4 linked regions of the Notamacropus eugenii genome follow. The protein of the gene in region 1 interacts with the protein of each later gene in a pairwise test. Links are inferred from orthologs where the notes say so. Each region holds a gene or a part of one and is shown on either strand. Other genes may lie near its edges. The genes, in order: EGFR, PIM1, PDGFRA and CFL1.

Evidence for each region.
Region 2: the proteins of EGFR (region 1) and PIM1 interact in a protein complementation assay, tested with the Homo sapiens proteins (3 studies listed by BioGRID and IntAct, with this or other methods). The link is inferred for Notamacropus eugenii from reciprocal best matches to the Homo sapiens genes EGFR and PIM1.
Region 3: the proteins of EGFR (region 1) and PDGFRA interact in binary tests that used the Homo sapiens proteins (3 or more experiments, as listed by UniProt). The link is inferred for Notamacropus eugenii from reciprocal best matches to the Homo sapiens genes EGFR and PDGFRA.
Region 4: the proteins of EGFR (region 1) and CFL1 interact in binary tests that used the Homo sapiens proteins (3 or more experiments, as listed by UniProt). The link is inferred for Notamacropus eugenii from reciprocal best matches to the Homo sapiens genes EGFR and CFL1.

What each region holds. Positions count from the first base shown.
Region 1 is NC_092874.1:420,223,886-420,231,951, forward strand, and holds the start of EGFR (epidermal growth factor receptor), read left to right. Parts: upstream 1-4,933; 5' UTR 4,934-5,239; coding exon 5,240-5,327; intron 5,328-8,066. UniProt on the Homo sapiens protein: Receptor tyrosine kinase binding ligands of the EGF family and activating several signaling cascades to convert extracellular cues into appropriate cellular responses.
Region 2 is NC_092873.1:94,838,023-94,846,347, reverse strand, and holds the start of PIM1 (serine/threonine-protein kinase pim-1), read right to left. Parts: upstream 3,299-8,325; coding exon 3,217-3,298; intron 2,963-3,216; coding exon 2,856-2,962; intron 2,696-2,855; coding exon 2,645-2,695; intron 2,553-2,644; coding exon 2,186-2,552; intron 1-2,185. UniProt on the Homo sapiens protein: Proto-oncogene with serine/threonine kinase activity involved in cell survival and cell proliferation and thus providing a selective advantage in tumorigenesis.
Region 3 is NC_092877.1:105,670,912-105,678,164, reverse strand, and holds the start of PDGFRA (platelet-derived growth factor receptor alpha), read right to left. Parts: upstream 3,043-7,253; 5' UTR 2,848-3,042; intron 2,807-2,847; exon of another isoform or gene 1,573-2,806; intron 18-1,572; exon of another isoform or gene 1-17. UniProt on the Homo sapiens protein: Tyrosine-protein kinase that acts as a cell-surface receptor for PDGFA, PDGFB and PDGFC and plays an essential role in the regulation of embryonic development, cell proliferation, survival and chemotaxis.
Region 4 is NC_092873.1:18,552,546-18,560,279, forward strand, and holds CFL1 (cofilin-1), read right to left. Parts: upstream 3,060-7,734; 5' UTR 2,826-3,059; coding exon 2,823-2,825; intron 2,367-2,822; exon of another isoform or gene 2,257-2,366; intron 1,724-2,256; coding exon 1,416-1,723; intron 1,324-1,415; coding exon 1,247-1,323; intron 1,039-1,246; coding exon 926-1,038; 3' UTR 465-925; downstream 1-464. Other genes in the region: crossover junction endonuclease MUS81, read left to right, coding at 4,832-4,969, 5,158-5,290, 5,797-5,876, 6,803-6,901, 7,033-7,101, 7,480-7,568, 7,663-7,734.

The sequences.
Region 1 (8,066 bases):
AAAGTGATTCTTAAAAAGGTTAAGTGACTTCCCCATGGTTATACAGTGTTTCCTTGACTTAAAGGTCAATATACTAGTCACAATGCTACATCCCAACCCTAGTCAGTCCCCCAAATTGTATGTAATTATTTGGACTCTGCAACGATAAGCATTTGTTTTTCATCCTCAGAAGTCATTTATTCAAAAGCAAATGTGAGCTGGAAGTGAGGGGAAGATAGGGTTATCTATCACAAGGGTGAGTCACAGGGGTTGAATTGCTTGAGACAAAAAGAGAATGAAGGGTAAGAAATCTCGGTCCTGGGAAACTCCTAGCTTCTATTGAGTTTCAGCTCATGGACATTTTCTTCCTGCAAACCTTTCCTGATCTCCTTAGCTGTCAGTGCTCATTCCTTCCTTATCCAGTTATCATATATACGTACACAGTATCCCAAAAGTCTTAGTACAGTCTTAAACTATCAAAGGCTTTTGAAGCTCTTGTTAAGATATTTCAGTCATGTCCAACTCCTCATGACCACATTCGGGGTTTTCTTGGCAAAGACACTGGAGTGGCTTGCCATTTCCTTCTCCATCTCATTTTACAGATGAGGAACTGAGGTAAACAAGGGTGAAAGTGAAGATCCTACAGGTAGTAAGTGTCTGAGGCCAGAATTTTTGAACAAAGATGAGTCTTCCTGACTTCCTGGCTCTGGGCCAGATGCTCTATCCACTGCTCCATCTTGGAACACTCAAGTTTCAGCTATTTACATATTGTGACCCTTATAGAATTTCAGCTGCTGAAGGTCACCAGCTGACTTTTTGTGGGCTGTTTTGTCTTGGGGGGGCTCAGTGACCAGTCCAGCATCTTGCATGTAGTAGGCACTCAATAAATACTGGTTGGGTTGGATTCTATAACTTTGGCGAAAACTGTTTATTTTTTTCCTAGGCAAGATTCAACATAATTTTTTTTTACTCAACATTTCTGGGGAAGTATTTCGGAGTGTTGAGTAAGCCTTGAAAAGTTATGATCACATTGAACTGCTTCACCAACCTTAAGCTAATGCAGATGGCTATGGCAAGACCTGATTGTTCTTATGAGAATTATTTCATGCATGAAAGTGCGTCAGCACAATCACAAATTACATGTTCCTTTGTGATACCATCTTAATATACTACAGTGTCTTTAATACAAGGAGAGTGCAGTTCCCCACAAAGAAACAACACAAGACTGCAATGTGCATAATTGCAAACTCCCCAGCCCAGCATTTAAGGCCTTGTACATTCTACCTACCTTTCCCATCTTATCTCACCTTGTTAGCATTCACACACTTTGGGCTATCAGCAGTTTCCTGATCTAGACCATCCTGCACTCAGTGCATTGACTCAGGCATTTACTCACATCTAGAACACACCCCTTTCTCCTCATTCCTTCTCTTCCTTCTGGTTTCATCTTAGGTACCACCTTTGCCATAAAATCTTCCCTCATTCCCCTTCAGCTGATAGAGATTCCTCAACTTTGTCTATAATCCTTAGTATAAAGAGCTGGAATCTGAAAAGTCTGAAGCCAGATACCATGCTAAGGACAAGTCAAATCCCTTCTTTGGTTTTCTGATCCCTATCTTTAGAAAGTGAAGGAATTAAACAAAATCCTCTCTAAAGTTTCTTCCAGATCAAAGCAAACAACCCCAAGCCAGGTCTTAGTAAGCAAAGTGTGGGGAGGCTTGGTGCAAACTGAATATCTTGGGGAGAGATTGCTGAATTTGGGCATGGGTGTAGTCTGATAGTCACTACCCATGTAACCTCAGGCTAACCATATAACCTCTCCTGGCCTCAATTTCCTCATGTGTAAAATGAAGGATTTGGACTAGATGGCCTCAGACATCTTTTCTATGTTGTTATGATCCAATGAGCCTATAAAAAAATGGAAGCTCTAGGTAATTTCAACAAATTCACGTCAACATTTTTAAAGCTTCTGTGCTCAAAGCATTGATTGTATGTGCTATGGACACCAATATTCTTATATGCTACAGGGGGAATACAATGTGTGCATAAGAAAAAGAGAGGGTAATTTGATGGAAAGGGAAGGACCAGGAAGGACTTCAAAGGGCAGGTACCATTTAAGTTGAACCTCTTCTGCAATGAGAAGGCATTATAGGCATTGTACATGATTTGTTTGAATGTATGGGAATCAAAGAGAGAATATTAAGTTGGGCAATGACTAGTCATCCAATCTGGCCAGAATAGAGTAGGTGAAAGGAAATACGGTGAAATAAGGTTGAAAAGGTAGGTGAGAACTAGATTGAAGAAAATCTTAAATGCCATTTTTTAAGAGGCAGTAGGGAGTCAGAAAAGGTTTTTAAATAAGGGAATGGTCAGACCTCTACCTTAGGAAAAGGGAATGTGATCAAAAAAAGAAAAGAGAATGTGGTGTAAGGGAAGATGTAGGGGCTTTGGAGTCAAAGAACATGGTTCAAATGTCACAAATCTCTGTGACAATGAGTAAATTACTTAACCAGAGTTTCCGCACCTGTAAAATAAGGGAATTTGACTAGATTGTGTCTAAGGTTACTTCCAGCATTAATTCCCCTTTTTCCCCATTAATTCTTTTAATTATATTCACAGTTGTATGGAGGATGGTTTGGAGAGGAAAGAGATGGCAGGGAAAACAATTAGGAGGTTATTGCTATAGTCTGGGTGAGAAGTGTTGGTGGCCTAGAATAGAGTGGTGACCTTTTCAGTGAAGAAAGGATATGGATGTGGGAGGGAATCTGATTTTTTTTTAATACTACCATCTCAAAAATCAATTGTAATTAGACAGCTAAAGGCTGAGTTTATTCCTTTTATAATTAGTTTCATATTAACTTTATAGAAGCAATCTTTCTATTAAATAATCTTACTAGTAAATAATTGGTCAATTAGCCTTTAATCAAGTTTCCCCCACCCTACCCCAGGACGCTCTCTGCCATTCACCACAGTTTCTTTCTAAGGGTGAAATTTTAAAAAGGGGAAATAACTATCATTCATAGTTTCTGCACTACCATAGTCTACTTCCTGAGCTATGGGACTAATTCCAGGTTCTATGCACTTTACCATCATGGGAGCAACAAGATGATTAAGGTTGCTGAAAGCCAAACACAAACCTGTGTGGGGGGGGAGGAGGGGGGGAGCAATGGGGCATCAGTGGGCTTTGGGGGGAGGTTTACAAATGCCCAGGCCTTGGAGAACACAGAAATAAAAGGCACTGCTTTTTGCTACAATGAATACTTTTTGTTTTACTCCTTCTTTGTCTCCTAATTTTGAACTTGCAAAATCTGTTTTACTGGGATGTTAGTAGTTAATACACACTTGGGAACTATTTGTGAACTTTGAAAGATGGGGGAAGAGGTTAGAGGAAGCTTGGTAAAATCTTCACGATAAACTGAGGCAAAAGGGCTACATGACGTTAATTCTTTAGCAGATAATAAATCAGTGTATAAAAAGTAAAAGAGGGGAATCACTCTAGAACACTTTAATCTTCTTTCCATGGTGACATGCGGAAGGATTCCTATTTCCTTAACAAAATAATTTGTGATTTTCCACTTTTATACACATACATACATCCATACACAGATACATAATGAGAATATGGAGGAAGAACGTTACGTAAATAATTGACTAATGGTCACTGAAGAACAACGCACAGTCTCCTTATCTATCTTTTTTTGCTTAATGTTTTTTCACCCCTTGCTGTGATTTCCCAAAATCACCTCCTTAGCTTCAGACATTTTGTAACATTCAGTTACCAACTTTATAAAACTCCGGGTCTTCTTACTTCTGACTTGGAATTTAAAATCCGGCTATCCTTCCACTAATATTCGCCATTTGATTTCCACCTAAACATTAGACTTTTAAGCTCTGGGGTCGTCTGGCAAAGATTTCCCAGCCCGCATACCCTAAAAGGGAGAGGAGGGAAATGTGATGAGAAATATTAGGAACTGACCAAGTTTTGTTTGGTTTTGTTTTTTGAAAAGTTAATGGGTCTGGGGGAACGTTTGCCTCATGAAGTGAACCTCTCCCTCACCTCCACCCTCGAGGGTGAAGAAAGGCTATGGAAAAAAGAAAAGCAGCTCTGTCCTTTCTCTCCTTTGTGGGAGATGCCCACAGAGGCAGAGTACGTCGTTACCTGGCCAAACTTCCGAAAACTCTGAATCACACACTTAGGCAAGCTCTGAGTCCAGCCTTCTCTTGGGCGGACAGCGCTCACAGATTCTGGTTTTGCGCTGACCACCCTTCTGCCCTTCCGGCCCAGTTCACTGTCGCCCTGAAATCCTCCCACTGTCCCCTGCTTGGCTCTATCCCTCTCCACCGGGTGGTGGTGACCCTACTAAGAGGGGCAGCCTCCTCTCGGTCCCTGTGACGTAGCTCAGTTTGTTTGATGGGGATTCTCTAGGGAGAAACTCGCGAAGTTGGGGGAAAGTTTTTTTCTTTTGTTTTTTATGTTTTGTTTTTTCTGAGAACTGGGAAGGGAAAGGAAGGAGAGGAGAGAGTGCAAGAATCAGCTGTGGGTCGGAACCACTCTCAGCCTAGGTCAGGGTTGAGGAAACACCCTCAGCGCTTCTTTCTCCGCCTCTCCCCCACCTCTGTCCCAAAGGAGAAGGGAAAAAAACGGAGCCCACACTCACAAGTGTGTGCTCAAGGACTCGGAGTTGACAGCCTGTCTAGACCCCTACCCCACCTCCGGTGCCTAGCGCGGTAGGAGCTCCAGCTCGCGCACACGCACACACACATAGGCACACACACAGGCACACACGCGCACGCACACAGGCACACACACACACACACACACACACACACACACACACACACACACACACACACACACACACACACACACACACACACACACACACAGGCAGGCTAAGGGGCAGCGGCCGCACCGCCTCTTTCTCCTCCTCCCTCTCCTCCCCCCTCTCCACCTCCCCTCCGGGCGCTGCGGCGGCAGCAGTAGAAGCAGAGCGCCTTCCCGGCATGGTCTGCTAAGCCAGCCTTGTCGGGCAGCCCGAGTCCGGGGCAGAGAAGGCTCAAGGGAAGCTTTCCGACGCCAAAGGAGGAAAAGCAAGAAGCAAACGCCCCGGCCTCCTTGGGATTGATTCTGCACTTGGCAGAAATCTACCCTCAACGACATTCCGCCTTCCCTTGGCCCCCGGGCGGGGAAAAGGGGTTGTTGGCTCGTGAGATTACTTTGGGACCATCGAACTGGGACCGACGTCGATCCGGTGCGGCGATGGGGCTCTCTGGGGCTGCTGGAGCCGCTGTCCTGGTGCTGCTTGCCGGACACTTTTCCCTAGGCACGGCGCTGGAGGAAAAGAAAGGTAAAGGTGTCGCCTTGGCCTCCCGCCTCTCCGCGTCCCCTGCCTGGCCTTCGCCCTCACCTGGTCTCCCTGCCGCCAGCTTGCCTGTCCTCTTTCCACACCCCGCCCCAGCCTCAGCCCTTGCTAGCCGGCTGCCGGTCTCCCTCCGGCTCGCTAGTCCCAGTCGGCCGGCGCTCCCCTCCCCTCCCCCGTTTCCTGCGAGATCAGCTGTGAGCTCTGGCCAGCACCCCGGTGGGAGCTGAGCCTGGAGGGGCTGTCCTGACAATCCTGTCTGGCCCAGAGAGAAGGGGGTACTGAGGGATCTCTGGCCGGGGAACTGAGCTCCCGAATGGAAACCTGGTGTCCAGAGTCACTAGTTCCCGGGCGCGCCCTCAATCTGGCTGCGCGAGCTCCATCTGCGTTTGCACAGGAAACTTTCTCAGCCGGCTTTCGTCTCCTTGGCCCGCGCCGTAGACTAGCCGGGAAGGGGTGGGGGGCGGCTGGAGGCGGGGAGGCGGGGATCGAGGTAGTAGAGTTCTGGGGGTGAGGGCGCCTTGGCATTGGCCGCACTCTGGGGATGACACTGTGCAGCGGGGATAAAGGGACAGGGTCCCATGTGCCCCCCACCCCACCTCCACTCCCCCCTCACAGCCCTCATACTTCCCAGGACAGGTAAACAAGAGGGCATGAGATGCCAGGCTAGAGAGAAGTCCCACCGGTTAAGTGCTACTAAGGGTGTCTGTCACCTGTCCAGTCCTCTGGACCGGCTCCCTCGTTCACATTTCATTACTCTCTTTCTGTAGCCTGGATTGTCAGCAGTCCGGGGTGGGATCTGTGGGTGGTGGGAGTAGACGGAACCCTCCTCCAAACACACTAAACCAATAGGGAAAAGAGCCCTCAGCCCCATTCCCATTCTTTACTCTCAGGTTCTCCGCCTTCCGTCACCCTCATAACACTGCAGGATTTGGACTTGCTTCTTTTTAACTGTAGCTCTGTGCGTCTGTTTGTCTGTGTCTCCCTCCCTCCTCTCGCTCTCCCCCTCTCCCTCTCCCTCTCCCTCTCCTCCCTTTCCCACTCCAGTGACTGTCGGCCTGTGCTTGATCCTTCCCTGCTCTACAAGGTGCGCAGGTCTGTGTAGGATTCAACTGTGCAGCCGGGTCGCTCCCTACACTCACCTTTGGTTTCCTCCCTACTACCCTCCCTCTCTTACTTATTCCCCACTCCTGAGTCGCTTCACGTTCTTACATGCTTCTTAAAATACTTTGTTAAACTTCTAGGGGGCAATTCTGGAATCGTGGATGGTTTCTCTAGGGTTTCTTTGGAGAATGAGATATTAGATTATAGAATCCTCAAAACCATCTGATGACAGTAATCCCTTATAAAGATTCCAGTGCAAATCGTTTGGGGAGTAACTTTCCAAATGAACACTCCATACTCTTTCTCCTCTCGGGAATGGGGTGGGGAGTAGATAATCAAACCACACACCGGTTGAAAGAAACTGGTAAAGGTCCACCATTCTCTCTGAACCAAGCATGAGAGAATCTGATTTCGTGACTACTGTCAATAAGCTCCCTTGGAACAAGAAACATGCCTTAGAAGATTCTAATTGCACAATCTTAAAATTAAGGAACTCGTGTTCCAAGAGTCAGGTTCCGACCTGTTGTTGATGTCATTGGCACAGGGTGTTGGGGTGTGTGTGTGTGTGTGTGTGTGTGTGTGTGTGTGTGTGTGTCTGTGCTGGGGGTTTGTTGTGGGTTTGGTTTTTTTTTTTTTTGTGGGGGAGTTACATAAACTTCTTGACTATGTTTGCCCTTCTACGGATAAAGATGTTTTGAGACAGTTTATTTTATCAAACTTGCAAAATATAGGTGAGAGGGTGAATATTCTCGTCCTATACTGGGGAGTGAGTGGTCAGTGTTGAAAGATCAGAGCTGTTGTTTTTTCATTTAGTGAGTAGCCCTCAGATTTATCATCACAGATTTGGATATTTTGACAAATGTAAAATGTCTTCCCCACCCCCTCTTATTTTCAAAACTAATGCTATATTAATCCACTTTCCCTCACATTTAAGATTCATAGTTTCAGGAAAAAAATTCTTTTTTTCTCTCAGGTACAAGAATAATACCTTGTACCTTTCTAGGACCAATTGTAATTTTACTGTTCTTTTACTTGAAGGCATCATCTTTCTGATAAAATATTTTTCACAATACTTTAATGGTTGACTTTTGAATATCTATGTCTGAAAACTTTCTAGTATTCTATACTTTAAAATGCTTCAGCTGTTTCTGAGAAAATATAATTTGTTCTCTTTTTGTATCCATTTAAAGTAGAATGCCTTTTAATGTGGGGATAAAAAGAACCAAACTCTAAGAAAATGAATGTGCACATAGGATAGTAAAAGGGAATGGTTAATTTCTCAGTACAAATTCTTTAGGTTTGAGTGAGCCTATTTTAGAAAGAGTATTAGTTATGATCAGGTGCACTTAAATTCATCTATGCCTTTAATCAACAAAGTCTAATCAATGTCAATGAGAATATTTAAAAGAAATTTGTTTAGATCTTGAAAGCAGAAATATTTGTGCATTTAAAAGAATAATGACAGGTATGTGTGACTTCAACCTTTCGACCTTGCACAGATAACACAAGACTAGAAAGGGAAATGAGCTGAAGCAGATGAGCACCCTCTTTTGAAAGTCAAGGCAAACCTCTCCTTGTCACAAGTCCTAGATTTGTCCCCCAAGTTCTTTCCATTCTTTCTCT
Region 2 (8,325 bases), on another chromosome or scaffold:
ATGCTATTTTTCTAACCAAAGAGAAAAAAAAATGGTATACAGTTTTCTAACCCAAGTATTTCATACTGCGAGTGCTAAGTGTTTGTTAAGGATTAATAAGGGAATAGTAGGTGGCTCATGATATTTCCTGGATGTCTAACAATAAACTTAAGTTCTGTAAAAATTTGCTTCAAGAAATAGGACTTTTTTTTTTTTTGGTAAAGAAGATAGACACCAAACACAAACAGATCACCAAATTTATATGCTAGAATATATAGGGAATAGAGTTTGAATCCCAACTTTTTTCCTTTTGGGGGTACAGAACCTATTATGACAGAAACACTTATTATGAACAATTAATAATTTCCAAGAGACAACCTGGACTACCACTTGGAATATCTATGACTTGACTTCTTAAGTATAACTGCTACCTTTTGCTTGTCTTCTCAATGGGTGGGAGAGGAGGAAAAAATGCAGGACTCAAAATTTTTAAAAAAATGCTAAAAATAAACAATTAAAAAAGCTATCACTGCTTTTAGGTTCCTTTCTTCTTTGGCACCATATCCAGAACTGAAAACATTAAGCTTATGTTTAAATATAAGAATTTAAAACTTTCAAGTAATCTAGAATGTGATTTCAGATTTCAATAATTTAAAAAAACTTTTAAAATATCCTTGTGCTGAAGCAGATGTACAAATAAAAGCTCCATTTTACAGACAGGGAAACTGATGCTCAGAAAGCATCTGACCACATTCGGAGAACTGGTAAATGAGGGATTCTTCTGAGTCTCACGTTTCCTCTTTGGTAAAAAAGGAGATTTGGACTAGATCTCTTAAGCCCATTTTTCAAATCTAAATGCCAAGGTCGAACCTGCCCCCCCACCTTTCAGGAGACCACCCATAATAAAAATCAGAGTAGGTCTTAAGGAAATCTGACATACTTACAACCAACTATTCTTAAAAGTAAATTCAAATGTTGCCAACACTTGACTCTCATCCAAATTGGTACACTTCCATGACATCAGAAATTGGGCTCCCATGCCCTAGTAAATGCTATTATGCCCAGAGCATGTGCTTAGCCCAAGCCCACGCCCTCTTCTCCTGGCCACCACCTCCTCTTCCCCAGGCAGGAAGAGTAGGCTGAGGTCAGAGCAGTAGGGCTGGTTTCTAGGCCACGTGATTCCTGTTTACAAACTTTGGGTTGTAAAAAAAAAAAAGGCACACCCCTGCTTCTCGCTCACCAGGGGGCAGCAGAGGCCTGGAAAGGTGGGAGGGTCCTGCCAGCCATTAACTGTGAAATACAAAAAATGCAGCCCAGGCCCAGCATCTTCCAAGGGCAAATAAACACAAACCGCAAGCCCGAGTCACAGGTTTTGAAAGTCAGCAGTTTGCTCGCCTCAACCTCTCAGATCATTCCCCACCCCTCCTATTCTTTGATGTCAAGTGCAGGGAAGCTCCCACATTCCTCCCTGCTGCAGAAAGGACCAGCCCCAAACCCCTCCCCTTACCCTAATGCCTCTGTTTGGCACCGGGCGAGGGGAGAGTGGTGAGATCAAGCGGGAGGGGGTGGGGGCAGAATGAACTCATTTTAAAATCTACAGATCTTATTTCACAACATTCATCCCTGAACTGAAAAACAAAAACAAACCACTACCACCTTTACCAGCAGAATGAATAATTTAGTGAAAAGACAAGAGAACAGTTTCTCCTTCCTGACTGACTCAGCTAGTTCAAAAGAAAAATAAACCGAGACCACCCACAAGAAACTACCAGCAAATTCCCTTTCCAAAGCCCTTTCTCCCTCCCCTCATCACTCTGTCCTCAACACCCCCTCAGTGCTCGGGAAAGTGGGTCAGGATTTTAAAATCTGGGCTATGACAAGTCAGGTTTGGTGGAAGCCGGTCTCCCCGTGAACTAAGCGGGCAGGTTAGGAGGGGAACGCCACAACTCAGGTTCTCGATACAGACAGCAGAAGCTCGCTCCTTTCTGAGCCTATCAAAGCCCTAAAGGCTAGGTCGGGGGTCTCCTCTAAGCGCACAGCACAACTTCCAAGGTCTGCTGTCTCCCGCCCCACCCTCTGGAAGCGGCCCCGCTTCTTCCAGCCAGGCAAGATGACCTTTGGAAAAAGGTCGGCGAAGAAGGCCCCTGAGGAGGGGGACAGTTGTAGGTCAGGGCAGCACCTGCCTTTTCCCGGGGTCTCCACTCACCGTCAAAGTCGGTGTAGACGGTGTCCTTGAGCAGCGCCCCGGACCCGAAGTCAATCAGCTTGAGCTCCCCCCGGTTGAGGTCGATGAGAATGTTTTCGTCCTTGATGTCTCGGTGCAGCACCCCACAACTGTGGCAGTGTCTGACAGCCTCCAGCACCTGCCAGAAGAAGCTCCGGGCCAGCTCCTCCTGCAGGGCTCCCCTCTCCGTGATGAAGTCGAAGAGGTCCTGGACCGGCTCCGGGCGCTCCAGCACCAGGATGAAGCTGTCGGGCCTCTCGAACCAGTCCAGAAGTCGGATGACCCCCGGGAACCCCGAACTCACTTTCTTCAACAGGAGAATTTCCATGGGCACTCGGCTGCCATTGGGCTGCGGACAAGAGTCACGGGGGTCAGGAGACACGCGGGGACACAGCCAGGCTCACGCCCCCACCCCCAAAGACACGGGTCCCAGGCACTTACCAGCTCCCCCCAGTCCGAGATCCTGTCCCGGTCCACGTGCTTGATAGCAACCTGCAAAGCCCCCAAGGGGAAGGTCGGAGGTTAGCGCCGAGCCCCCTCCCCAGGCCCGCCCCCGCACAGCTCTCCCTCCGCCTCCCCCTCCACTCCGAGCCGGACCCGGGGCCAGGCGGAGTCGAGGGAGGGCTCCCCGGCGTTTTCGGAGCCCGCTTACCGGCGCGCCATCTGCCAGCCGGGTGCCCGAGTAGACCGACCCAAAGCCACCGCTGCCCAGCAGCGGGCCCACCTGGTACTGCTTCTCCAGGGGCTCCTTTTCTTTCCCTACGGAGGAAAAAGCCCCGTCAGGGACTGTTGGAAGCGGCCCCCTGCCCATCCCGGCACCCCCCCGTCAGTGCCCGCATCTCCTTTCCTCCCGGGACGCCCCTTCCCCAAGCGTCCTCGTCCTCGCCGGCTCTGCCCTGCCGGCGGGCACCCTGCCCCGGCTCCCCGCCCCTGACCCCGCCGTCCTCCCTGCCCCGTAGGTCCGGTGCGGTCCGGTGCGGGTCCCCGCCCTCCACCCCGGGGTGGGTCCTCACCGGGAGGCAGCTTGGCCGGGTGCAGCTCCACGCAGGGCCCGGAGCACAGGTGGGCCAGGGAGTTGATCTTGGACAGCAGCATCCCAGGGTACAGGGGTGACAGGGCGATGGGGCGGACGCCGCTGGGGCCGGGCGGAGCGTGGGGGGGCAGGCGGGGATTGGGGTGGGGGCGCTGCCGGGGCGGCTTGGCGGGATCAGTGTGCCGCAGCGGAGCCCGCGGCGCTGCGGTGCCGAGCTCGCCGCTGCAGAAGCCGGCCCGTCGCTGCTGCCGCCGCCGCTGCCTCCGCCGCCGCCGCCGCTGCCGCTGCTGCTGCTGCTGCTGCGGCTGGTGCTGCGGCTGCTCGGGCTGGGGCTGCTCGGGCTGGGGCTGCTCGGGCTGCCGCTGCTGCTGCCGCCGCCTCTGCCCCGGGAGCCGCCGCCGCCGTCCCTGCTGTTTCTTAGACTTCTTCCGCCGCCGCCACCGCCACCGCCACCGCCGCCGCTTCTGCCGCCGCCGCCGCAGACGCCCGGCTCGCCCGGCAGCCAGGAGTAAAGGGGGCGTAGCGCGCGGGAGCGGGGGGGCGGGGGGCGGGCGCGCGAGCGGACGGGCGGGGCCTCTCCGGGAGGCTGGGCGGGGCGGTCGGGGGCGGGGCGCCCGGCTGCCGAGTCGCTGGTGGGAAGACAAGGGGGGGTGGAGGGTGGGGAAAGCAGCTGGGAAGGAGAATTCCCCACCGCACGGCCGGCACGACCAAACCCCGCCCCCGCAAGGCCGCCCCCAGCCAACCAGAGCCCAGCGGATCTGCATAAAGCAAATGCCCCGCCCCCAGAGGCCCCCTCCCCCCACCGTCAGAATGGTAGCTACGCCGCCTCGACGTGGCGGGAAGGAAAAGGCGCCAAAATGGAGGGGGAGGGGCGAGAGAAGTGCGGGCTCCGAGAGGAGGAGGCGGGAGCCGGGTGCAGGGCCACGGGGAGGAAGGATGGGGAGGGGCTTATCAATTCAAACCCAAACAATAACAAAAGCCATCAAAGGAAGCTTGGGGTCTGCCCACCTCTCCCTCTCTCTCCCTCTTTCTCCCTCCCTCTCTCTCTCCATCTCCTCCCTCTCTCCCCCACCTTCCCCCCTCTCCCCTCTCTCCTTTCTTTCCCTTTCTCTGTCTCTTCTTCTCCTCTGCCCCGTTCTCTTTCTCTATGCGGTAGAGCCTTGGGGTCAGGCTTGCCGTAGACCAAGTTCGGGGACGATTGGTGGCAGCGGAGGGGGTTGGGTGTGTATGTCGAGCAGGGTGGTCGGGGACGGGGGGTGAGTGTCTTTGTGTGTGTGCGTTTGTGTGTGCGTGACCTCCATGCCCGCTCTGCCTGGCTCAGTGGACGCGGGCTTCGCTCCCGGGGAGCCCGCGGTTGAAGGGCAAGCGCCCATCGGTGCGGGTGAGGGGGTGGAGGGTGGCACTGCAGGGCTGTGAGTCACCAAAGGAATGGGGATGTCTCATAGGTCTTTGGAACAAAAGTGGGCTCCGAACTCTCAAAAACCAAGGGAAGGGTTATTTATCCATCCGGATGATTTCAGCCTTTCTACAAGAGGTGGCATTTAGATACTTTGTACAATTAAAAAGAAGAAAAGAGGGCCAGGGTAGCCGTCATCCCCGCCTCCGCTCCAGACGCGGTTCAGCCCGGGTCCTGCGCAGGGTGCGGTGGCACGGGGACATCCCGCTCCTGCGAGCGGAGTCCCAGCCCATCTGGATCGGAAGCTCCCGGTTTCATTCACAGTTTTCACCTCCCTCCCCCACCCTGGCCACACCCAGCTTTGTTGCTACTATGTTGCTCGTCCCGAGCCTGCTCCGGCCCCACCTTCCTAACCGTGCACTAACTGCTAACAAAGTGCGAAAGGAGCCACTGAATTTTCCCTCCTTCCTTTAAGAGGATGTCTAACCATGAAACACACTGAGTTAAGATGACGGGGGGGAGCGCGGATGAGAACGGAGCACCTCCACCCGGACTCCACAGGTCCGAAACGGAATTCACTAAGCGTGCCACCGCCCCGAAGCATCCCGCAAACTTCTCTACTTCTGCTGAAGGCGTCCGGGTTCCCACCTCGCTCCAGACGTCGTGGACTCACCTCCCTCCCTTTGCTCCCCTCCACCTGGTGCTTTCAGCATCCTTCATTATCACCCAGTCACATCCCTTCTAATTCGTTCCTCAACTTCCAGTCACCCTTCTCCAATCCAGCCTCCATCCTGCTGATCTAAGTTTCCCCATTCCTCTCTTCCAAAGTCTTCCGTAGCTCCCTGCTGCCTCCAGGACAAAATACAAATTCCTCCATCTGGCAGGGATTTTCCAATGAAAGAGCACCTCCAAAATCAGGCTCCCACCTATGATTCTGAATTTATTTCATATTGTTCCCTTTTATTACCTCTGTTAGTATAATCTGCATCTCCTTTGCAGAGGTTGCCCTGCTGGGCTTGGAATGCACTTCTCCCCTTATTTCTTTCTGGAATTCCAGGTTTCCTTCAAAAGTTCAGATCCCATTCCTCTAGTCCATTCTGAAATTTCTTTGTATTTTCATTTGTGGGCACAGGTGTTTTATCCCTTCAGTACTTACGTTAGTAAGCTGCTTGAGGGTAGGAGCTGTTTTGTCTTTGTATGGTCTAAATGCATAGCACTATCACTTTTTCCTTAATTCCTCCTTCACATATCTTGAACATAGTAGGTTTGAAAATAAAACTGTTTAGTGAGCAGGATTTTATTTTAAATACTTCATGCTTAGGTTGCTGCTGCTTGAAAGGAAAAATAGGGAAGTGTCTGAATGACGGACAACCACTGTCAACTGTAACGTTTACATATTTTACTAAAAACCTGGCGCTGTTATTTGCTCATGTTATTTATGTAGCACATTTGTTAGTCAATTTCCTTTCATTTTCTTGTTTGTGTGTTATGGATTAATTAAGAATAACTCACATTTGTATCATTTCCTCAGAACAATCCCTTGACTTAAGTACAAATAGTATCCAACCAAACTCTGAGAGGTTCTCATTTGTCTGTTAGCACTCAGATAGTAAGTGTCTGAAATAGAATTTTAAAATCCAGGTCTTTCGACTCCCAATCCACCACACTGGTGCTGAAATCTAATGTTTGATGTTAAGACAATGAGACATAGTTTGTCCCAACATTCATTGCCTTTGTACATATTATTAAAATGGATGATGAATGAATACACTAAAAGACTAACTGACTCCAAACTCTTTAACTTGGCCCAGCCTTCCAGACAGGCCTTATTTCTCAGGAACCTTGATCTCAGGGCCTATCACTTCAATCTAAATTGGATTTGTTCTATCTCCTAGGATCCTATTATATTCCTAAATATGCTTTGCATTTTTCAACCTCATCGCTTCCTCTATCCTAATCAAGTACTGTTATTGTTGAGTTTTGTCGGGACTTCTCTACCCTGTGGGCCATAACACACCAATACTGTCTATGGAATTTTCTTGACAAAGATCCTGGAGTGGTTTGCTATTTCCCCCGCCAGGGTATTAAGGCAAACGGAGGTTAAGTGACTTGCCCAGGGGCACAGCTAAGTAAGTGTGTCTGAGACCGGATTTGAACTCTGGTCTTTCTGACTCCAGTACCAGTGCTCTATTCACCGAGCAAACTAGCTGCTCCAAACAATTACTCCTTAAAAATTCAGCTCTGAGCTCCTTCATGGAGCCTTCCTAGCCTACTCTACTCTCCTATTGCCTATTCTACATATTTGGTGATAAAATAATAATAAAAAATAAACCTTGTGGCATGTCTTGTACTGTTGTGTTATTTATTGCTGTTTTACTTTTTATCCATTGTCTGCCTAACCTCCAGCATAACCGCCTCAGAGGCAGTATGATTTTGATATTAAGTGCACTGCTCTTCAAATGATAAAGATTTGAGTTCTCACTGTATTTTGCCAAGTGTGCGACCGTAAACTTTGTAAATTATAAAGATTATATAAACATGAGCCATTTGTCCTTGCGTATATAGCTACATTTTATTGTTATTTTACATTTTCAATAGCATATAAGCACAATACCTTGAAGGCAGTAGGCTCTTAGTAAATATTCCTTGATTGAGAGTAGCCTGGAGCACTGAGGTTTAGGGCTTCATCCAGGTTTACAGCCAGCCTGTATCAAAGCTGAGCTTGAAGCTAAGATTTTTAGACCCTTTAAAAGCCCTGCTCACTAAAGCTGCCTATTTTCATTGAAAGGAGAAAGTGAAGCTTTACAGGATGACTTTTAAGAGAAATCTTAGGATCAATATTAAACCTTGTTGCAGTGTTGTGTGTATTATGCAGATCCTACTGTCTGAGTAAGCCCTTTTGCATGAGTCTTTACCAGCTTCATGATCAATTACTCTCTAACTCCTTTCAACTTCCTGAGCTGCAGTTTCCCCAGCATCAAAAATGGAGTACTAACTGTGCTTGTAGGAGAGGCATCATAGAGTAGTACGTAGAGAGCCAGCCTTGAAGCCTAGAAGACCTCCCTTAGCTCAAGTGACTCCTCTGACACATGGTGGCTGTTTGACCTTAGACATGTCACTCTCAGTTTTCCTCTTAGACTCCAAGTTTCAGTAAAGGTGTTCATCTACTTTGGAAGATGGAGATTCCTTCTTGAGAGTTTTCTATGTCAACGAAATCACAAACCTTAGTCCTGACCCTAATACCTGTACCTTCGTTGTTTTCAGGTGTGTCCCACTTAGCGAAGATGATAGAGTGGTTTGCTATTTCCTTCTTCAGTTCATTTTACAGATGAGGAAACTGAGGCAAACGTGGTTAAGTGACTTGCCCAGAGGTCACATAGCTAGTAAATGTCTGAGGCCAGATTTAAACTCAGGAAAATGAGTTCCTTCCTGAGTCCAGGCCCAGCACTCTATCTACTGTGCAACTTGTCTACCTCAATACCTGCACTACCTATGAAATAATGGGGTTTTTGTTGTTGTTGTTTTTCTGTGGGGAAAGTACTATCTGTGGTGCCTTATAGAGATGTGAGCCGTCTTTCTAAAAGTGGTCCAAATTTTGTTGCACTATTTTCACACTTTAGTTTAAATATGTCCTATGAGAATGATTCAAAATAGCTAATACATATAAAATCAACTTCAACCTCACTTTTTTTT
Region 3 (7,253 bases), on another chromosome or scaffold:
TCTTTTTACTCAAGGACTCCAGGCTCCCAGGGCCCTACTAGTCGACGAGGCCCAGGGGGCGCACTTCTCCACCCCATTCGGCGCCAGTGGCGTTCCCAAACTAGAAACTGTTGCTTCCTCCTCCCTTCCCCTCCCTACCTCAGGTCCCACAGCTGGACGCATCTCAGAGCTGCTGTGGTTTGGGCGTTCAGTGGGGGGAGTCCAGAGTTTTTATCTGCTCAGCAAAGAAACCGATTCTTGTCCTTCGAAATTTAGAAGGGGGGGGCCTCAGGCTTTCACACTTTTTCCCTCTTCCCTTCACTATTCTCAGTCTCAAATTTAAATTACATTTTAAGAACCAAGAGCCAGCAGGAAGCTGGGTCTGGACAGAGAGGCAAAGTGGAGGTTAGGCAACCTCGATTTTTGAAAGCAATGAGGAAAGAAAAAGAATATTCCAGTGGTTATCTGGAAGAAGGCTGCATTTGAATGTGGGACAGCGGGTGGAGAAGAGAGAGGCTTGTGGGAATCTGGCATTTGAGATGTCTCAGTCTAAGGCATTCAGTTGCTGAGAGAGAAAACTGAGGCAACTGATGTTTGTGGTCATCCCAGAACCTCCCCCTTCACTCTATCCTCTCCCCTACCCCCCACTCTGTTGCTCCTTCCCTTAGGGGCAGGGAGGGGCTTGTGTTGTGTAGCTGAAGCCTATGGACTGGAGTCTCTCCATTATACCTTGTATCCCTTTCCACTCAGTCCAAATTGCTGTCCAATTTTATCATGGAGTGATCATGGTCCCAAGGCTATTCGTTCCAAAAAAGTTGAGCAATCCACTGGCTGACGAGCCCAAAACCCCATTTCCCAGGCCTCCCTGCCGCGAGACTTTTCCAAGGGAACCCATCTCAGTAGAAGGGGCGCCGTCCAAAAGAGAAGGGTCGTAATGCTGACTCCCACTCCCTTCTGCCCTCCGCCTTTTCCCCTACACCCCAGAATCGGGATGTGACAGGATCTCCTTAGCGGTGCTTCGGTGAATTCTCAGTTCCCCAAAACAGAGGGAATGAGCAACTCGGAAGAGGGGGTCACGTAGACAAGCCCAGAGAAGAGGCTCCCGGAGACCAGAGCCAGACGGCCCCAGAAACTTGGCCACCTCAGTCAGGGCAGCCACCAGGCAATAGAATCTGCCCCTCTCCCTCGGCTGCCTTCGAGCCTCTCAAAAAGAACAGCCGAGGTCAATTGTTTCCGACTGCAGTGCCCGCGCCCTGGCGCTCGGAAGAGAAGTTAATCTCACGTGTAAAACCCGATTTACATGGGGATAGACGATGGGGGGAAAAGGAAGCGCGGCGGGCAAAGAGGCCAAAAGACGGACTCTGGGGAGACTAGGAACAGACGGCGGCGAGCAGGGAGAAGAAAAGAGCGAGGCTAGGCCAGGGACACCAGGGCAGGCAATGCCACAAGTTTTAGAAGAGACGCGCGCAGGGGCCAAGGCCAGGGGCCCTGGACCAACGGGTTGGAGATGGGGACCCCGTTAGGTGGCTGTAGTTTTTTTTAAGAGGCTGTGGAGACCACAGACAGGGGCCCGCCCCACAGTCCATCTCTTACCTTGCGCAAAAAGTTTCTCAGCTTAGTCCTCCCCTAAACTCCCCACATGTGTTGCTTGGAGAAATTATCCGGCACTTTTCTGGCGATTTTCCTACTTTCCTTCCTGTTGCCGTGGTTTGCCAGAGAATCCAAGAGAACGGCAATACTCCAGAATAATTTTTTTTTTTTAAATACGCTCACGATAATAATAATGACTCCTGGAAAGGAGCCTGATCCCAGCTCGAAATTCCTCAAATCCCAGGTTTCTGGAATGCGGTGCGACGACGGCTTCTGCTCTCTCTTCCAAATGTGTTTGTCATTAATGCCAGAACTCCTTCCCCCCGCCAGTCAGACAGCCAGCCAATGCCGCCGCCTCTTCCAGACCAGATCCATCATCCATCCAACCATTTCTCGAAGTAGAGAGCCCTCTATCACTGCAGAGCTGCGACTTTTTTCCTTGACGCCTTAGGAGTCCCTGGCTAACGGGCAGCAGAGTGCCCCCCCCCCAAAACCTCGACACACCCCCTCCCAGCCCTACGCAAATAACCCCGGAGAGCGCCTCTCAGCCGCCGCGGTTCCCCTGGGTCTGAGTCCTTGTTGCAGAGTAGAACGCCGTCCAGTAATTACGAACGCACCCCTGGCGTCCCCAGTTCTCCAACCAGTCCGTATATCCAAGGTCCCAGGATACCTCCAGCAAAGCCTTTCTCACCCAGTCACACTACTCCCTCTGGAACTCTCTTCTCACAAATCTACCTCCCTTCTCCAAATTGTCCCAAAACTAGTCTGGACCTCCCTCGACAGAGCGGGCAGCCTCGATCAGCTAAACCCCCGAGAGAACTGAAAATACTCATTAAAAACATGCCATCTCCCAGGAACGGTCACCAGGAGCAGGGCAAAAGACCTATATTCCTTCTCAATCCGCCCCCACAAAAGAAAAAAAAAGCGAAATACCAGATTAAAGCGCTTCAGTGCCTTCTTAAATAATGCCCTCTTCCTATCTCAAAATGATGTTTAAATAATTTCAAGTTTTTAAGGGGGAGGGGGCCCTAGAAAGGAGGCTAGAAAAATACTAATTTTTTAAAAGTCCTCAGTCTCTCTCTTCTTTTCAAGTAATTTTGCTTCCCAACTTTTCCAGGTTTACTTAGGATAAATTACTCTCTGAATGCAGAGATCAGCTCCAGCATTTTTTCCCCATCGTCAAAGTTTGTGAAATTACCATATTTCTTCCAGCCTCAGGACCTAACTTCCCCCGAAAGGAAAACAAAGTCGAAAATTCAAAAATTTGTCCTCCCTTACCTTCTCTCCTCTACGTTAATCCGCAATGAAAACCATGCACAGTAAAAAATATATTTAGATATAATTATATATATATGCCTATCTCCTATAACTGTTTCCTCCTCCTGTTTCTTTCTCTCTTAGTTGAAACTGTAATGCGCTCAAAACCCGCGTTTTGTAATAGATTCAATGTTAAAGTCTATCCTAAAACTAATCATTTGCTCTAAGTAAATAGCTGTCAGGAATGAAGCCCCCTCCAACCCTCTTCAAAATAAGAGTCTGACTCTCATATTCGGAGTTTGGAGACGCTCTGCCTACAGCTTTGGGTGTTCCCTGTCTTCTTTTACTTAGGCAGGGGGTCCACCTCCAGTCTCCAGTCTTTATCAACAACTGGGGGTGGGGAGGGACGAGTTGGCCATATGGGGTGCAGGGTGTGGGGGATGTATTTTGATAGTCTTGCGCTGCAGGGGGAAAAGTTTCATTAAAATACAAACTGCTCACAGTTTCATGAATGAACTCTGCACACTTAATGGAACTTTTCTCTGCTGCATGTTTGGGGTAATTTTTTTTTAAAAAAATGTTGATTTGTGGATACAGCCTCCAGAGTAAACAAATTACATTTAGGAATAATATTTAGTGGGGCTCGCTAGATTCTGGCCAGGGGGCGAGGAAGGTGTGGCAAAGATGGGGTCCCTCGTAGATCGCACATAGTCACTGGGTCATTTTGACCCTGAGTCTTTAGGAGAACAGGTAATGTAGACGATGTTTTTGGTGCGATCTGCTGCTGATGGCTGTTTCCAAGAGCAGCCTGATAGGTCTGATGAGAACATAAAGAATGGAGAGCTGATGTAGGATCTTTAACTTTTTAAAATCACGTATCTTTCCGTGCTTTGTCTTTGAGGGGAATCTGGAATCTGGAAGATTGGTGCAGGCTTCTGCGAAGGCTGAGATGAATGAAGCATGTGGGAGATCCTTTTTAAAATGGGCATTGGGGGATGGAGCCCTTTGCCCCCTCCTCCAGCGCTCCCTTCTGCAAGAACAGATCGGGAGGAGGGCATTTTTCCTAGTCCTCTATTTCTCCACCTCAGGAGCAAGGGAGGAAAACTGAGGGCCATCTGCATGCAAGCTTCTCTAGGAAGCGAGCTCCGCACGAGGTTCCTTCAAGTGGTGTGTGTGATCCTGCTTCTGTGAGCCAGGGGGCGCTGCCGCTCCAGAAAACAGTCCTCCCTCTCTCGACACGGGGGGGGGGTGGGGGGAGGGAGAGAGAGAGAGAGAGAGAGAGAGAGAGAGAGAGAGAGAGAGAGAGAGAGAGAGAGAGAGAGAGAGAGAGAGAGAGAGTGTGTGTGTGTGTGCTCGTGCGCTGGGAGAGGGAAAGGTGTCACGAATGTATTTCGAATAATGTTACCACTCCGTCTTTTCAGGCAGAGTTTTTAGAGAGAAGTCTCATAAAGAAACATGGTTATGTCATCTCCCCAGTCCAAGCATTCCCTTGCCCCCAGCTCCCAGCTGAAGTGTAGGGAGAAGGGGAATAGAAAACTAACTCCAGCTTGCACCCCCTAAAAAAATTGGGGGGGCTGATGTGCGAAGTTCAGCTTGGCGTGCAAACCTTAAGGGGTTCGGTGGAGTGATCCCACAGAATTGAGAGGAGGGAGACCCTAGGGCTGAGCCTGAGAGTCCCTGCTGCCTCGAGTCCTTTCTGCATATTCTCCTCTAATGCATCTTCAGCTTGGGTGACTGCACAACCCCACTATTGCTTCCACATGTTCCTTCAGGAAATCATTGGAGGCAAATAGATGAACAGTCCCTTGTTCGAAATGCTAACAGGATACCGTAATGCTTGTAGACAAAGAACCAAAGAGACTCTCGACCCTCTCTACTCCATCCCCCAAAAGAAGGGAGATCATGAAAAAAAAATCCACAATGGTAGGTGGTGCTATTTGTACCTTTTCTAAAAACAACGTTGAAAATGGGGAAAAAGGAACGAGAACACAATAAATCAGGGTTCCAGGCTCTGCTTTGCTTCAGCTAAACAGGCATCCAGTCGCGCCTTCCTCTCTAGTTGAGGGCCCCAATGTTGCCCGCCCACAAATGGTAACTTCACAGTTCATTTCAGAGTCGCTTTATGGAGCCCTGGCTTTATTCGCCTACATGGAGACTCAGGCGGGAGTGTCCGGCGGTAACCTCACTTTAAAGAAAAAGAAAATAGATGAGCAAGCCAGCACCCAATTGTCCTTCTGTTTGTAATTACCTGCCTAATTTGAATGCTGTCTTTGTTATGATCATTAACAAACATTTGCTAAAGGTTTCCATGTGTGACATTCTCAGAAGGTTGAAGCGAGCTGAGGTTGACTGGTCATAGAGCTAAGGTAGGGGGTAAGGAGGAAAGGGAGAAAGCAAATGGAAGAAAGGCTGTTGTTTCCAAGAGAGCCACTCTCAGAGACCAGAAGGAGAGGAAATGGGGAGAAGCCAATGATGCGCCTCCCTCCCGTCCAAAAGTAAAATAAAACAAACCCACCAAGACCTTGCATTTAGGCTCCCTGCAAGAGCCTGCAACGAGGCCTGCCAGAAAGACAGCCATTTCCACAGCTTGGGATCCTTGGCTTCAATTTCTCCCGACCCCTGCGGTCCCTGTATTAGATTTCAGGGACGACCTCGCTCTACGCCTGTCAATCAGCTTGGTTGGCTCTCTGTGGGCTGGAAAGGGCTAGGATGGACCTTTCCCTGGTGTTGTTCTAAGATGCTACAAGATTGCTCCCTCGACGTACTTGGTTGTCCTGTGTGGTCTGCGAGCCGGGGAATAGGGAGAGAAGCCTCTGCCTCTAAGTCAGACTACTGTTTATTTGTTTCTTATCTGGGTATCTGACTGATAGAAAACATAGGAGGTGCCACGCACTCACCATATGTGCCCTTAGGAGGAATGACCCGCTCGGGCCCGATCCCCATTCCTATTGCCCTTTTTAAGGCGTTGCGCCGTGTGAAGGTCCCAACCCCCGCCCGTATTAGCTTTTTTTCTTACTATTTTTTTTTTTGAGAGGGAGGGGTATGGGATAAGGGGTTAAGAATGAGGTTTTTCAACTGAGACTTGAGGTCTGGTAAAGTCTATGGATGTCCTGGTTGCTCCAGGAGGGTGCAAGAGTTCAGAACGCTGCTAGCCTGAGATTCAGACGTTTCAGCCGTCGGTGAAGTGAGGAAGCAAATAAGTATATGGAAAGTGGGAGAGAGAGACAGAGACAGCGAGACAGGCAGAGAGAGAGAGGCATAGAGAGAGAGATGAAAAAGAAAAGAGGGAGGCAGAGAGAGAGAGAGAGAGAGAGAGAGAGAGAGAGAGAGAGAGAGAGAGAGAGAGAGAGAGAGAGATTACACCAAAGTCGTTCATTCGTCATTCCTTTAAGCTGCTGGAGTCCAGGTTTGGTATTACAACAAAGAATTAAAACCAGAGCTCTCCACTGCTCAGAACTTCTCAGTTTTGACTGAGAGATGGCTGTTTGAGGTTTCCCCTCCCCTTCTTTTTTCCTTTCTTTCATTCCTTCCCTTCTGCTCACCCCCAGTCCCACCAAAAGGAACTTCATCTGTGACGTCCACGCAGTTTCTTGGCACAGAGAAAGCATGGGCAATACTTACGGAATCATCCGAACAAATGACAATAATTTAAAAGCTCAGCTGGGCTGGTGTGCTGGGGGTTGGGATGGAGGTGGAGAGAAGGGAACCGTGGGGAGAACACTTTTCCTTTGTTGGTTCAGGTTTCGAAAACCAAAAACCATTTGGTGAGATTACAAACGAAATGTCACTGCAGCCCTCTTCCCCTTCCCCCATCTCCCACTCCCAACTAAACAACACACAGAGCCCCTTCTGCACGCAGCCCAACAGAGTCGCTTCCCTGCAGGGCTGGGATGGTGGAGGCGAGTTGGGGGTGGGGAGGGGAATCTTTTCCTGGGAAAACTCTTCGGAGGGTGTGGGGATGTGGCGCACAGATGTGCTGTTCTCAGCTCTGGGGAAGAGAATTGAGGCCGGGAGGAGGGGGTGCAGAAGGGATCCGCCTCTGCCTCAGGCCGTCAGGCCCTCGGAGCCCGAGGCTCCAAAGGCTTCGAGTTGCCTTGGGCCACCCTGCACTTGAAGCCTGTCCTCTAGAGAGAGAGAAGGAGGATGTGTTTCAGTAAAGACTGCCTTGAGGCTAGTGAGGGGTCAAAGGTGTTCCCCACGAGATGCAAGGAGTTCCTTAGGGACCCCTCACTGTGACTCCCTCTCTAAGGGGGAGGCTTGTTGAGTCAGACCGTACAGCTCAGCCTACTGAGACTCTGGAATGCATCTCAGGGCGGGGAAGGGAGGCAATTTGTTCAGTATGCCCCACGAAGGTCAAAGATGCCATGGTTAATCTGACTTCAAGTTTGTGGTTGTGGGCATATATTATTTTAATTAATAAGCCAGTG
Region 4 (7,734 bases), on another chromosome or scaffold:
GCTGCCAGGTCAAGCATGGGGGCTTCAGAGATGTACCGAGGTCAGACCCAGCAAGCCAGCGGAGTCTTTCCTTCACTAATGGAAATAAAGCTGCCTGCTTTGGACCCAGCATGTTGTGTGCTCCCTTGAGGCTGGCTTCACGGGAAGCTAGCTCCTCCACAGAGTGAGAAGCCCCTTCCCAGTAACAGGCTCATCTGGCAGAGTTCCTCCTGGGCCCAACTCCAGGGAAAAGAGACTCATAAAACCAATAGCCCAGAGATCAGAAGGCTTGGGAAGGGCCCACCTTAGGTCAAACTGTAGGGAAGATCCAGAGAAGACGGCTGTCTTCCAGCCAGAAGGCACCGATCAAAGCCCCAGGCCCAGGCAACAATTCCGTCAGAACTCGGGAGAGATGGTAAAGGGAACCTGCCATACTTTACCATCCCCAAATCCCTCCTGCCCAGCCCAGAAAACAACTACCTGCAGAGCAGCTCACCTTTTCTTTATTTGTCTTTTTTTTAATTGAACTTTCCTTTTACTGGCCACATGAGTAACTGGGGGAGGGGGGGAGGGGAGCCGGCTGTGTGGGGGAAGGGATCTCCACAACATTCCATTTACACACCAAACTAAACAACAAGCACAAAGCCACTATTACGGTTAGAAGTTGGCAGCACCGGGGAAGGGGGAAAACTGGGGGTGTCAGTTAAAAAAAAATACTGGCCTCCCCCCCATCTGGGCATCGGGGGGACCTTGGTCTGCTACAACTCAGGAGGAATGAGAATATCAAAGGCGGTTTGGGAAGGCCAGGGGGTGGTTTGGCAAAGGGGTGAAGGGATTGCCCTGCCCCTGCTAGGATCCCCCCAGCCCTTGGGTCTGGCAGGAAGGGGGCAGCCTGCTCCCCCACTGGGCTTGGGCAGCCCCAGCAGGAGGGCCAGACGTGGGAGACTCACAAGGGCTTCCCCTCCAGGGAAATCACGGCATTGCCCCCCAGTTTCTCAGCCAGGGTACAGCGGTCCTTCACTTCCTCATAACAGTTGGCTTGTAATTCGTGTTTGATTCCTGTGAGAAGGAATGGAAATGGGCGAGTCAGAGCCAAAGTGCCCTCACTTTACAGATAAAAACCCAGCCTTGAGCTTCCAAGGTCCCACCACAGCCAGTCAGGCTTCTCACCCAGTTCTTCAGACCCAACGAAATTCGGCCTTGAGCACCAAAGAGGGTTACGCTATTGGGAATGCCATCTCTCACACACGCGCCCGCACACACACACCTGTCAGTTTCTTCTTGATGGCGTCCTTGGAGCTCGCATAGATCATTTTGCTCTTGAGGGGGGCACACTCAGGGGCCCTGGCAGGAGAGAAAACAGTCAGTGCCCAAAATTCCCAGTGCGTGCCTCTGGGCAAGCCTGGCCTTGAGGGGCCCACCGCCCTCAGACTCACCAGAAGATGAACACCAGGTCCTCCTTCTTGCTCTCCTTGGTCTCGTAGGTAGCATCGTAGAGGGCATAGCGGCAGTCCTTGTCCGGTAGCATCTTGACAAAGGTGGTGTAGGGGTCATCCACAGTCTGCCCCACGTCACCCACCAGGATCTCCTTGCCCTCCTCCAGCACGATGTTCTTCTTATCCTCGCTCAGGCAGAACAGCACGGCCTTCTTGCGTTTCTTCACCTCCTCGGGGGTGGAGGACTTGCGAACTTTCATGTCGTTGAACACCTTGATCACCCCGTCCGAGACAGCCACGCCAGAGGCCTGTGGGCACGGAGGGGAACAAGTCAGCAGGTGCTCGGAGGCTTGCCGGGCCTTTGCGGGGCACGCTCCCGGCAGAGGCGCTCTACTCCTCGTCTGACTAAACGCCGCAGAGCCCACGCTGACCAGCGTCAGAAGGCAGGACCTCAACTCTGACCTTCTGACTCTCGGCCGCCCCGAGCCCCCGGAGCCCCCGGCCCAGCTCCGGCCACGCCTCCCCTCTAGCTCAGGGGCAGCTCCTGCCTAAGGGCCGCAGATGAGGGCTCTGGAGCCCCCCTGCCCCCACAACCGGGGACAGAGCCTCCCGGGCCCCCAGTTCCAGGACGGGGGTCCTGCTCTGGCGCTTCCCCCTACCACGACACCAAAAAGGCCCCGAGGAAGCAGCCGAGATCGGCGCCGCTTCCTGAGGGGGAGGGGAAAGAGCCCGCCCCAGGAAGACAAGCTCGGCACCCCCTCAGGAAGGGGGGAGGGGTCCGGCCCAGGCCTTCCGGACCCACTTCCCCAAATTGGGCATTAGCCTCGGAGTGCCCCCCCACCCGGCCTGGGGTGGGCAGCGGCGGATCATCCTCGCCGGAAAGGGCCAGGCCGCCCCCAAGGCATCACGCAGGGCCCGACACCCCGCCCTCCTCCAGCTGCGGAGCCGCGTGCTCTGGGCTGAGCGCGCGCCCCCTCTCTTTCCCTTCCTCCCCCTCCCCAACTGCCCCTCGTTTTGCTTCAGCCCTTGGAGGTGCGCGCATGCGCGACGCCCCCGGGTACGGGGGCCGCGCGCGCCCCTAACCCCCCCCAACACTACATAACGGTTGGGAGGAGGAGGGTCGCGCGCGCGCCCGCTGCACCCAACAACCGTCAACGTCAGACGAGCACGCGCGGGGGGGGGCGTCGGGGCGCGCGCGCGCCCGCCCGGCCACCCGCCCGGCGCGCGAGCCCCTCCGCCAGCCGCCAGTCTCGCCCGCGGCGCCCCAGGAGGGGGAGGGGAAGGGATGGGGAGGACGGAGGGGAGGATGGAGAGGAGGATGAGGACACCGCCCCGCCCGCTGCACCGCCTCCACCACCCCCGCTGTCGGGCGCCGGGCCCCCTCGGAGCTCTCTGGCCCGCGCTCACCATGGTTCCGGAAAGGAGCGAGCGAGTGAGGGAGGGAGGGTGAGGGAGGAAACGAGGGCCACAGGAGAGGAGGGCGTCGCTCCTTCGCCGCCGCTGCCTGGAGCCGACTGAACGCGGCCTCTCCCGGCCCCTTCCGTTTAGTAGGAGCCGCACAATGAGAGGCGGGGCGAGCTTCCGGCGCTCTGGAGACGGGGCCGATGGGAAATGAAGTTCGGAGGCGCTGCGCCGCCCCAGGGCACGCCGGGAAGTGGAGTCTCCCCAGCCATGCTAGACTGCCCGGGGAGTTCGGGCGTTCGGCCCCCTGCGGAGAGGGGCGGGGCCAGGAGCGCTCCACCTTGGGTTGGTGTCCCGCCTCCGCTGCTCCGCGACGTCGGCTCGGGCGCCCGGGGCGAGAGGCCGGGGCTCTGGGCCCTTGGATCCCATTCCCAACGTCACAGCTGCCCAAGGGTCCCCAGTTCTAGTCCCCATTGTACAGAGAGGAAAACTGAGGCTCATCTCTTATCTCTCGTTGTCAGGAGCTGGGCACCACGTACGGCAGACGGAGAAACTGAGGCAGGAAGCCGCTGACTAAAAAAACTGGGCTTTGACGTGCAGCCTCTTTCGGTGCCCATAGGCTCATCTGTGCTTGCCTCCGCAAACACGACCAACCAGGAGACCGAGGGGAGGGGGTACACCACTCATGACTGGGTCACCGAGGGTGGGGAGTGCGGGGGGAGGAGCAGGGGATTTGCGCCCCCATGGCATTCCCTCGGAGATGTGAATGGCTGAGATTTTCGGCACTAGGAACCGAGCCTGCAGAGCCCCCCATTTCACAGATGGCATAACTGAGGCCCAAAGCCAAGGCGGTGAGATCCGCCCGGAGCCAAGGCAAGGTGGCACCCATCTTCTCGTACCTCTCCCCGCGCCCCGTCGCTTTCCGTGGGAGGGGAGGGGGCGCGGGCTTCGCGGTCGCCCTGGAGACCAGCCCCCCCCTCGCCTGCAGCTCTGGGATGCCCCAGATCGCCTTATTAGGGCATGAGCCGGGATGGGGCGGAGCCAGGCAGAGCGCCCGTGCACCGCTCCTTATATGGAAACTGAGCCTTATATGGAAACTGCGGGAGGGCAGGCCCAGGGCTGGCGAGCGCCCGGGAAATCCCTGGCTGGGCAGCAGCCGGGCGGTCGGTGACCTCTGTGCCTGCCCCTGGCCGCTGCAGTGAATGCAAAGCGCGAAGTCGGAGACCCGTCCAGCCTCCTCGCACGCTCCCTTTGTGAATTCTCTAGCTCTCTTCTCCTCTGCCCATCCCCCGGGCTCTGTCCGGAGAGCACCCGCTGCAAACGTCCAGGGCTCGAGCCGGACCCCTTGAACATAACCCGGGCTCTACGGAGCCCCCTCTGGACATCCCCCAGTCTGTAGCCCAGTCCTTTTCTTGCAGATTCCCCCCCACCAGTCGCCTTTGCACATCATTGGGGATGTATTCTTTCCTCCCCGCCCCCACCCCCGTGCAGATCTCCCGGGCTCCAGTCCCCTTTGTGAATTCTCTGGGCTTTATGCCCCAGCTCCAGTGCCCTTCGCTTCTCTAGGTTCAGACCCTTCCGCACGCCCTCTGGAGGCTCCCATCCTCCCTGCAGGCGCCGAGGCCGATCCTGCAAGAGAGCCAAGGTGAGAGCGGTTTTCTTTCGCCCTCCCGACCACAGGGGGCGCTGTTCCCGTTTCCCCATCCGCGCAGCACTCGTTTATCCCTTCCTTTCTCCTTCTGCTAGAATGCGGAAGGGGTGGGACCTCGGTTCCTGGGTGCTATGGTAGGGAGAGCCCAAATGCTGACAGCCGCGGGGGGAGCTGTGTGAGAAGCTCAGCACTCAGAAGTAACCATTCGTGGGCGGGGGGGGGGGGGGTGATGTCCACACCTTCCACCTTCGGGAAGCCTGAGAGCCGGGGCGGGGGCTCGGGTCACGTGGCGCGCGGGGAGGAGAGCGAGGCCCCGCCCCCCACCCGGAGCGCCGGCCGTTCTAACTCGAGTCAGAGCTGAGCTATGGCCGCGCCCGCGCCCCGCCTGGGCCGGAAGCGGCCGCTGCCCGCCTGCGCCAACCCGCTTTTCGTGCGCTGGCTCCGCGAGTGGCGGGACGAGGCGGCCGGCCGGGGCTTGCGGACGCGCTTCGTCTATCAGAAGGTGGGCCGGAGGGTGGGGGTGGGGTGTGCCCGGTGAGGTAGGAGCCTGGAAGGGAGTGGGGAGGGGCCTGGAAGGGGCGGGAGGTGGGCGGGGACTGGAGGGGTGGGCGGGGTCTGGAAGGCCCTGGAGGTGGGCGGGGCCAGGGCCCTGGGGGCTGACCCGCCACACCAGCGCCCCTGCACCTCCAGGCCCTGCGCTCCCTGCTGCGCTACCCCCTGCCCCTGAGGAGCGGGAAGGAAGCCAAGATCCTGCGGCACTTTGGGGATGCGCTGTGCCGGATGCTGGACCAGAGGCTGGAGCAGCACCAGGAGGCCGGCCGGGGTGAGGGGGGCCTGTCTGACACCCAGCCTGGATCTGCCTGGCCGGGCACCAAGCTAGGGGGCGAGACGAGGGGCGGGGCTGGCCTGCCGCTCTGACACCCTGGCCCTTCGCTCCTTGGGATCCAGGGGTAGCAATGAACCTAAGCCCTGCCACTCTTGTTCTCAGGCCCCTCAAAGCCTCGATATCCCCTGTTCTCAGGCCCCCCCCGGCCCTGACATCCCCCGTTCTCAGCCCCCCCGGCCCTGACATCCCCCGTTCTCAGCCCCCCCCCCCGGCCCTGACATCCCCCGTTCTCAGCCCCCCCCCCGGCCCTGACATCCCCCGTTCTCAGGCCCCCCCGGCCCTGACATCCCCCGTTCTCAGCCCCCCCCCCCGGCCCTGACATCCCCCGTTCTCAGCCCCCCCGGCCCTGACATCCCCCGTTCTCAGCCCCCCCCCCCCCCCCCCCGGCCCTGACATTTTTGTTCTAAGCTGCCCCTGTTCTGATGCTGTGGTTGTTTCCTCAGGTCTAGGCGAGCTGCGGGTCTCTGAACTTCCCCAGGTGGGGTTCAGCACACCCCCAGAGGATGCAGTCCCTTCTCAGTCGGTGAGAAGGGACCCCCTAAGGCTCACAGGGTTGGGGGGGATGGGAAATCTCTGGAAGAAAGGGGAGCTCAGAGCAGCCATTTAACATGTCCAGCCTGGGGGTGGGGTGTCCAACCCCATCGACCCGTGGAGGAGCTGAGAATCTGCCTAGGGCAGTGGTCTGGAGGCAGCCAGCACCAAGGGGCAAGAGGGAGGGAACAGCTTGGGGGGGGTCAGGAATCCTTTCCTTTTTCAGGTCCCCCCCCCAACTGAGCTTTGAAAGAAGCTAAGATCCTAAGGAGGGAGAGGGAGGAATGAATGCTGGGTGCGCCTGTCATGTTGAGATACCAAAGACACCAGAGAGGGAATGGGAGCTGGGTCCCACAGTGGCACCCGAGCTCTGGCATTTTAACCAAGACCTAGGATGGAGATGTGTGGGAAGCTAGTTGTGTGGAGGCTGGTTGGCAGTGGGCAGAGGCTGGGGCCTGAGAGATAGTCATCCAGGGCAGCAGTGAGGAGGGGCTCCAGGTGTGTGTGAAGAGGAGCTCTGCATGTCAGAGATGGGTGGATGATTGACAGGACTGGATGCCTGGTGGTATCTAGGCAGGGAAAGGTGGCCAGCCTATAAAGATGCCCCCAGGGGTGATGGCAGGAGCTTAGGAGAAACACTGAAGGTCACGTGGACAGATTACAATAACGATAACTGAACTGTGAGGAGGTCACCGAGAGTGGGTGGAGAGATGAAAGCCTAGGATGGAGCCTTGGAGAATGCCAGCTTGGTGCCAGCAAAGGCTTCTGAGGCCATCTGAGGGATGAGCCTCCCCTTTGGGGAGGGGAAGGCAGTCTCCAGGCAGGAGAATTGAGGAGGGGTGGACAAGGAAACCATCACCCTGCTCTGGGTCTGGGAAGCTGTTGGACTCAGGAGCACCTCTCCTCTGCCTGATGTAGGGCCCAGGCCAGCCCAAGGCTGGTGGCCGCAGCAGCTACAGGCCACCCCGACACTCAGCTGCCCGGGCTTTGCTGCTGATTCTCTACAGGGAGCAGCTGGTAAGCCTGGGATGGGAGTGGGAGGGTGGGGAGAGGACAGGGACACAGCCTGGAGGCAGTTCAATGAGACCAGGTAGGGTTGGGGACAGGGATGGCCCTGGGGGACACTGACCCTCTGCCTCTTTTTTGAGGATCCCAAAAGCCCAGGGTTCCTGACCAAGGAGGAGCTTCTGAGGAGGTGTGAGCAGGAAGCACCCAGGGTAAGAGCCGGGGATGGCAGGGGTCCCCAAGAGGCCAGAAGGGAGGCTTGCTGTCCACAGCCCTGCCTTGGCCTTTTCCTTTGGGGCTCATGAGAAGTTAGCCACTCAGTGACTTTGCTGTGGAGCAGAGTGTAAGGCGAAGGGCCAGTCCTTAGACATAGTCTAATCCAGCTCCTCAGTTTATAGGAGGGAGAGACTGAATCTGAGAGAGAAGAAAGAACTTTCATAAAGCTCCCCCTGCTCAAGTGGGATACATATGGGGTCCTCTGACTCCAGCCCTGGGGCCTCCTCACGGGACCATGGGAGATGACCCTTATCTGCCTCTGCCTCTTACTGGTCAGGTGACCGTTATCTGCCTCTGCCTCCCTGTCTGGTCAGGTGGCCCTCAGCAGCAGCACCCAGCCCTGGCCATCCCTGCGTTCTCTCCTTCACAGAAATCTCATCCAGAAGAGCCAGCAGCCAGCCAGGTGAGGCCCAGGGCTCTGGTGCTGGAACCCTGAGAGGGCTCAGACCTGGGGCGCCAGGGACCACATCCTCCCTTGGCTCTCCTGCCTTCCTCAGGTACTCGCTGACCCCGGAGGGGCTGGAGCTGTCCCAGAAGCTGGCAGAAGCCGAAGGTCTGGGAGAACCATT